Linked DNA regions of Arabidopsis thaliana. The protein of the gene in region 2 interacts with the protein of the main gene of each other region in a biochemical or structural test. Each region holds a gene or a part of one and is shown on either strand. Other genes may lie near its edges.

Region 1 (4,147 bases), on a different chromosome or scaffold from region 2:
AGTTCTTGGCTTCTTGCAGACCTTGCGATCTAGAGATCAGTGATAAGATGTACATACTACATAGTACACATACCTACATAAACAAACATGCATATACGTATATATGCGTGTTCATATATATGTAGAGAGAAGCTAAGGATGGGGCTAACGAGAGACTGCAACAGAAGGCTAAGGCCTGATCTCTATGTTTCACATAGACTCGACATAATTCAGTGTCTACTAAGATGCTATATGCTCATACATATTAACTAGACCACACTTCACTGACATATTTTTAATGTAACATCAATCTATATTGTTCAATATACAGCACAAATATCGATGTTTTAACGAATAATGCACAGAGTTTTTATTTTTTCACTTGGGTATGACATATGATGTGGATGGTCAGTTATTCTGCTTGGCTCAATGTCTGTATAATTAGACTTATTTAAAGGTACTATGACCAATCCCAAGGAGACATATTATCTGTTTACTGAAAATGACTTTTTGAAGAAAATTTTAAATTATAATTAACCTTGGGATAACAACCATCCAATAAGTCATTAAGTGAACATTTCATCACCAAACCAAGAGCTTTCCGATAATTAAACACAGTAAGTTCTGTTCCACCTTTCAATTCAATACAGACAAATCACCAGTATATAATGTAAGTATCTCTCTCCATTCTTGAATATCTCCCCCAATTTTGTTTTTTTGTTTACAAATTGAAACTTAAAATACTAGAATAGTAACCAACAACGACAACAAAAAGAATACAAAAAAAAAAAAAAACTACAAACATAAATAGTTTTGGCATTACATCACAACACATAGCAAATAGATTATATGAAATTATAGATTATATAGTTTCTTAAACTTACCAAGATTCAAGGCAATGCATTATAATGATTAAGATCAGTCCAAGCTTGAATTCCATTGTTCCATTCACTTCCTCCTCCTCCTGTATTAGCATTATTACTAATCACTCCTTCATTATCACTGTTATTACCAAAATACCACTCTGTCTGATTATCTCCTTTCTTCGTCGGCGACGACGGCGATGATGAGTTTACGATCTCAAGATTCCGATAAAGAATAGGTTGTGGCCTCTCGACGACAACAGTTTCTTCCTTAGAATTACCAAAAAGCATCGCCATCCTCTGTTGCTGAAGCCTCCAGTGTAAATCTTGGTTTAAACAACTCAAAGTCTCTATAGAAGAAGCTAAGTTTCCGTCGCTTGCTCCGGCGGTTGTGAACCCCGTCGGTGAATGGTTGTTGTTGAAATCTCCAAAACCCATTAGGGATAAACCCGACCCGACATCAACGGGTGTGTTTTCTCGGCCCGAGGACATCATGGGCCTAAGATCAAGAACTTCTTGGTTATTCAAAAGTTGAAGATCGTTCATTTTGTTGAGAGATAATCCGGCCAGCTGAAAATCCATTGTTGTCGGAGGAGGGAAGAATTTGGATGAATCTTCCATGATTGATGAGAAGAACCTCTGAGAGGAAGAAGACGAAGGAAGTGTGTTCATGGAGGAATTAGGTTTGATAGATTTTTTGGTTTTCCGGCAACCACCACCGATGGGGACGTTTCTTAGAGCACCGCCACGTGTCCAGTAACGGCGACAAGATTTGCAGAAGTGACGAGGTTGAGAGAGACTGTAGTTGTTGTAGTAACAGAACTTTGTGTTTGGAGAGTTGCAACGAGGGCATTTTAGGTTTTGTTGGTCTTGAGCTACGGAGGAAGACGGTGGTTTCTTGGTTTGGGATGTACCGGAGATACGGTGATCTGGTTTAGGAACTGGTTTGGGAGAGGGGAGATTGGTATGGGAGGACATGGTGATGATGATGGGAGGAGAGAAAGATGAAGGAAGAAAAAAGTTTGGGGTCCTTTTTCGATTTCTTGCTTTGAATGAAATAAGTAAAGTAGGAGAGGAGAGAGAGAACAGTCGGTAAAAGGGTTTCGTATGGTTTATATTTTATATATACAAAATTATTGTATATATGTGAGAATATGGGGATATATATGTATTGTCGGGTTTGTGTGTAAAAAAGTTTGTTTTGCATAATTCTACATAGATATTTTATTAATTTGAAGTATATTATTAAAAAAAAGTGATTTGTCTTTTAAAAGTTGGAGAGACTTTGATTACCTAAGAAAATAAAACAGTGTTTAATGACTAAATACATTAACTTTTATTTAGTGTTTTGTTATTAGTTTTTCAAATGTTGATGATTAGTAATTTTTTTTTTTTTCTTTTTTGATGATTAGTAAAATTTAATTGCAGAAATAGTTTACATAACAGTTGTTATACATAATATTCAATATAGTAAAAATACGTATATAATAAGTGTTCACAAGGAGAATCACAATATTATTTGTGTTGTACACTGTGGTCTTCGTGTTCTTGTTCCTTTACAGAGTCATAGACTTGAATAATCATAAACCGCCATGTTTATCAAAACTGTGGTGTTCTTTTATTACATTGGATTAAATTCTTCATAAAATCTCGTTGTAGTTAATGTCTGTATATGTACATTGTACTTATGAATGTCAATAGAGAGAGAGAGAGGCATGAGTGAGAGATAATGGAGACAAAAGGAGAAGATGAGAGAGAGACATGAAGTGGCAGAAAAGACAGAAGAACATATATAACTGTGCAATTGATCGGAACAAATCGGATAGAATTTGTTATGTGTCTTGTTTCTATTGTTGAGGTAACGTTTTTTTTTTATATGTGTGAAGTGTGCACTGCACCATCTTTATACGTAGACAATATTAACATATTTACAGTCACAAATAATGTTTTCTTCCTTTACATACACCTATATACTTATATAGCTGTCAAGCGTATGCAACTCTATTAAGGAAACCAAAACTATTGGAACAAAATTTACGAAACATATATATTTTATTTTCTCTTCTGGATATCTCTTGTGCATGTAAGTTATTGGGGGGGGGGGGGGGGGGGGTTTGCCAAGAAATCGAATAAATGGATAAGTATTAATATGTACTACGCAGGCATAGTTCATTGTGCATATACGTATACTCTCTGAAATTTTTGGATTTATGTGAGTCCAAATCGTCATTCAGAATAGTAATTAGACTGAAACATACAATATATAGTAATTTTATACACTTAAGCAACATTTTTGAAGTTATATTTTACGGACATTAATTTGGGATTACGAATCTTGTAATCTAGAAAAGCCTTATTAAGAAGAGGGTAGGGTTTAACTCTGAAGAAAGTAACGTTTGCTTAACTCTCTGACATCTTTTTGTAACCAAACCCATTTCTAAAAACATTGTTTGTGTCGCTAATACATGTACATGAAATTTAAGTTTTCAGTTAAAAGCCAAAGTGATTGACATATGTTCAAATTGAACTGGCATCAAAATCAGATTCAATTGGTTTTTAGATATGAGGCCAATACAGACAAGTGTATATATAATATAAAAATTAATAAATCCAAAAATAGAAAAAGAGAGGAGATTGTGTTTTGATGATTGATATATTAAACGTCTCCATCTGTGAAGAAACACGAGAGAACGGAGAAGACAAAATGGGAAACATGTGAGAGCCCTCGAGGAATGGATCTCTCGTGAGACTAAACCGATCATCCACAAGTATACAAGTTACACCGATTTTATAAATTACTTATATAAAATAAAGCATATACTAGCGATTTTATAATTTTTTCAACTTAAGTTTATTGCTGAAAATCTTGTAACATTATAACGGATGGATAATTTTAAGTTTAACCATTTTCAGCTGGAAAATTTAATTCGTAATAATACTTGACACTAAAAAAATTTCTAAGTAGCATATTACAACATACATATTTTCGTCACCGTTGTCACTCTCGAACTCGGATCTCATTTTTCTATATTTGATAATATTTTTGTAACAGCAGTACAAAATTTATTACGGCGTTTAAATTTAATGTTATATCTATCTGTAATTGGTTGTTGAAGCGAGAAAGAGACATGACAAAGGAAATTACTTAAGGTAAAAGACGCAGTTTCATCAAAGATTGGTCAAATGTTATATCGTTATCAAAGGTCGTAGAAGCATATCCACCTGGTTTACGTGCTGTTCCCATTTATTCCAGCCGTAATTTGCCACTATTTTAATTTACAAAAGAAATAAAAACATTTTCACTG
Region 2 (4,652 bases):
TACATTCTCCAAACCGAGTTAAAAATGAATGTATTGAGTATTGACTATGTATAAACAGTATTAAATCTTTTAATATTTGAATGTTAGATTCCTAATATGTGGAAATTAGTCTTTATAACTTTCAAAATCTTACGTACTAAAAATGAGGTCATTTAACAGTAGTTTCTTCCATTTGCGACATTGTTATCATACTTATATGATTTGTTTTCTTTCTTACTTTGTTTTGGAAGCAACCAAGCAACCTTCGTAAATGAAATCGTCGAGAAGGTTAAGGCAATGCTTGACAACGTTTCCTCATCACACGTACGTAATCCTATTAAATCAAAAATTATGTAGTTCTAGAATTAGAGAAATTGAAATATTGCCAATGACAAAGAAAAAAAAAAGGTGTGTACAAAAGAACATACTGTATGTTAATTATATATATATAATTATTGTATAAATCTAGTGGCTAATCATTGTAAAATCTCTAGATTACGCCGCAACATCAAGTTTACATAAGTTTTCGGAGTCGAGAGATCCGCAACAAGTTCTCCAGCCTTCTTAGAGCCGCGTTACGAAGGAGTGGGATCAACGTCCTTCTAGATGATGAAAATATCACTCGAATAGAGTCAAGAGACGAAGTTGATAGACTTTTTTGTCGAGTTTCGAGAGTGAAGGATCGAACTAGTGTTCATTACCAAAATTTGCAAGAGCTCGACGTAGTGCTTGAAGAAACTGCTGGAGATGAATAAACACATCGAGTTTTTCCCATTTTCTACGAGTACAATCCAAGTGACATGATACAAGTCTAAACAAAGATAGCTTTTTAATTTAATTTCTTGAGTTACAAGATAACAACATGATATGTAGAAGAAACAGAACACTATCTAAGACATCCTGATAATAAGAATGGACATAACTACTAAAGATATGTCTTGGGTTACAAGGATCCTTATAGAACAATTTCTTGAGTTGCAAGACAGCTTTTTTAACTAGTGAAATAGCTTAAACAACGATCAACATGAGATGAAGGAGAAACAGAGCTTAAACACTACTAATTTGTTTTGCTCAATGTCAGAGTATAAAACTTGCTTTCCCCTTCTTAAATAATGTTTTAAATGCTCGGCAGAGGATTGAACTTCACAGATTCGAGCCACACAAGCTCCTTTATCTCTTCTTCAGTGGAAGACGGATCCTCAAAATGGAAACTGAAATGGTTGGAACAAACAGGCTCGTCGTTAAGGTCGTGAAGAGCTGACAAGTAAGGATAACACAGTGCTTCCTCAACTGCAAAACAAAGAGTATGATCAAGGATTCATCACCCATATGCCAATCTCGCTATGTACAATTTTTCTCATCATACCCGTGATACGTTTTACTGGATCAAACACGAGCATTTTCTCTAGTAGATCGATAGCTGTAGAATTCATACTAGGAAACCTAGCTGAAAAGTTTTGTCTTGGGAACTTAGGTAGCTCCTTAACATATTTTCTCGCGTTCGCGCTTCTGAGAAACTCTAGACTCGCTCCATCAGGTGATCCTATCAACTACTCAACCACATGAAACAACTCATAAACACATTGCAACACACAAATAAAAGTTTCCAACATTTGTACAGATCTTTCTAAAACAGAACATCATACCTCAGTGATAAGTTTAAGCTGATGAACGTAATCCTTCCCCGGGAAAAGCGGTTCCCTTGTCATAATCTCAGCAAATATGCAACCAACAGACCATACATCAATAGCAGATGTATACTCAGAACTATTAAGAAGCAGCTCTGGTGCTCTGTACCATCGTGTTACAACATACTCTGTCATATACTCTGTTTCTGATGTAGTCCTTGCCAAACCAAAGTCAGTAATCTTAAGATCGCAATTCGAATTCAAAAGCAAATTACTCGGCTTAAGGTCACGATGTAAAACATTTGCTGAATGAATATATTTGAGTCCTCGTAGAATCTGATACAAGAAGTACTGCAAAAGAAGAAAAAGTGAATCACTTGTGATTAAATCAACCATAGTATCAAATATAGCAGAGTAAAAACCGTACCTGACAATGATCATCATTCAAAGATTGGTTTGATCGAATAATCTGATGAAGATCAGTATCCATTAACTCAAAAACTATATAAACATCAACGAAATCTTCCTTCTTTGGTGGTCTAATGATATCTTTTATAACAACAACCTGTACAAGTCAAGACCACATTAGCTAGAAACTCTAATCGTTTACCGCGAAAATAGAGTACAAAACTTACGTTCTCGTGTTCTAAATGACGAAGTAGCTTAATCTCTCTCAATGTTCTCTTTGCATCTACTTTATTATCAAAGGCTTTACCTATCTTCTTTATCGCAATCTCTTCGTGTGTCTCCGAATCTACTGCAGCACTATAACAATAAACCAATACTCTCATGAATCATTTTGCTTATACATAAACACAAACACAAACAAATCATCAAATTCATTCAATTTAAACTATGATTTTGAAGACAGAACCTTTCTTAAATCCAAAAAAGATCAAATTTTGCAAGCAACCCTAATTCAAAAACCTATACCAATACTTAGTTCTTTATCTAATTAGGGTTACAAATACTAAGTAAGAAACAAGAATATGAAATACACAAAAGGGTAGAAGTTGTACCAGACAAAACCGTAAGCTCCTCTACCAATAGGTCGAATAGGAGGAACATACTTATTAGAAACTTCAAACAAGTTTCCATAAACATTGTATTGAAAATATCTTCCTCCATGAACAAGAACTCCTTTGATGTTAGTATCACCTAAATCTGTCGCTGATTCAATTTCCTTCGCCATTTTTTTCAAATATCGAGATAATACAGAAGAAACCCAGAAAATCAAACTTTGAATACAAGATTTTTGGAGATGAGATCGATTCGATTCGTCTCTGCAAAATTAAAATAATGATTTTGTTGAATGTTGAAAACTTTGAAAATCTAAGGAGATAGAGAGAGACGCGTCAGAGGACAACGACTCTTTTTCATTAGTTTGAATATTTTGAATAGGTCAAAACGTATCGTCACATGTCCATCAGCCACGTGTACTTTGTAATAAATACAGATGGGTAAACGTTTGGGCCTGGCCCATCTATTTAATATAGAGAGAGGTATGCTATCAGCTCTGGTCTATGTTATGAGGCCCACGTAATATGAAAGTAAGAGACCTTTTCCTTTTCACCTATCAATACACATCTCTCACTAAAGGAATTCTTCGCAACAGATACTGAGATACAATACAAGTTGGAGTTTAATCTCTCCTCTTCTACTTGATGATTCTCATCCAAAACTACATACTTTCATTCTAAGGTATGTATTCCATATAATCAATTCATACTTTGTGGTGCGAGCGTAATGGTAGACGTCATGGTAACTCTTCTGTTCCTTCGGCCAAGCTTGCAAGTATTATCGACAAGAACGTTAGAAACCGCTCCATCAGCACAATTTGGATCTCGGGAAACTCGGTTTATGAAGAGGGCCTCCACTATTGGTTCCACACCCGTATTCCATAGATTCCTTCAAATGTTATAGTCTCTTCGTTTTCAAACTTTCAACTCAAAGTCACATTCATTATACAATTTTTTTTGGTGAATATCATATTATTCACTTAATATATCAGTAACATCTTATATGTACATATAACAGTTGACATATTAAACCAATATCGAATAGAATGTTATCTTTTACTTAATATATTAATTTATACTATTCACCAAATTGTCATTAAAATTACGTTTTGAACTCTGGAATATCGCGAGTTTACCAATTTACTCATAATCTTCAACTTTTCTATATAAAAAAAAGAAAATTAATATGGATCATATTATACGAGGTTTCTTTTGATAACTTAATCTTTTGAGTCAAATTTACGCAGAACCTAAATATAATTAACTTGTGATGCTCAAACTACAACCCTTAAAATACCCTAAATTGTTCAATATTTTCCTCGTAAAATACCCCATATCTAACTCAAATCACTCGCACTTACACATCAAATATGACTAGGCCGACACAATATAATATATATCCAATAATTACATGTTATTTAATTGGTACGACAATCTCCGACAACGATACCATTACCAATACCAATCTCTTTTAGCCATATTCATGCTAAAAGTGTAGTGGCAGATCCAATTCACTTTTATTATTGATCTTCTCCACTGATTGGCTTAATTTGATGTGGCATTCAATTAGATTAATTAGATCTCCAACATTATCCATGCTTTATAACTCATGACTCACGTGACTGTTTTTTTTCCCTCAAGTTTTGTTTCGTTTATCTTCACAATATTTTTAGATATCCTAAATTGAAAACATAATAGACATGATTGTTGAATTATGTAGGTAAATCTCTCAGTTAGAAATACTGGGTTTGAGGCATGTTGGAAGAGATTTCTTTCCCAAAGGATATGAATTTAATCTGGTGTGGATCCCGCCTCTAGAAAATGTAAGGTCTTTGAGTTTGAATTTCCAGATATTCAAAAAAAATAAAAAAACAAAAAGACAACAACTCTAAGCATAATAATTTACTCAAGTTGATATGTGGTGAACTATTCAATGTGAAACGTTTGCGCTCTATTATTGGTATGCTGTATTATTAGTGTGACGGTATGACACAACGGAACTTCCAATATATATGTTGTACAATTC

What was found. The genes of interacting proteins can lie anywhere in the genome.
Region 1: of the proteins of MPK5 (region 2) and AT5G65590, one has a biochemical effect on the other in vitro, tested with the Arabidopsis thaliana proteins (one large-scale study listed by BioGRID).

What each region holds. Positions count from the first base shown.
Region 1 is NC_003076.8:26,211,215-26,215,361, forward strand, and holds AT5G65590 (Dof-type zinc finger DNA-binding family protein), read right to left. Parts: upstream 2,020-4,147; 5' UTR 1,821-2,019; coding exon 870-1,820; 3' UTR 532-869; downstream 1-531. UniProt on the Arabidopsis thaliana protein: Transcription factor that binds specifically to a 5'-AA[AG]G-3' consensus core sequence.
Region 2 is NC_003075.7:6,890,290-6,894,941, reverse strand, and holds MPK5 (MAP kinase 5), read right to left. Parts: upstream 3,017-4,652; 5' UTR 2,800-3,016; coding exon 2,627-2,799; intron 2,373-2,626; coding exon 2,243-2,372; intron 2,173-2,242; coding exon 2,035-2,172; intron 1,959-2,034; coding exon 1,626-1,958; intron 1,530-1,625; coding exon 1,346-1,529; intron 1,270-1,345; coding exon 1,097-1,269; 3' UTR 735-1,096; downstream 1-734. Other genes in the region: AT4G11340 (Disease resistance protein (TIR-NBS-LRR class) family), read left to right, coding at 231-303, 474-734.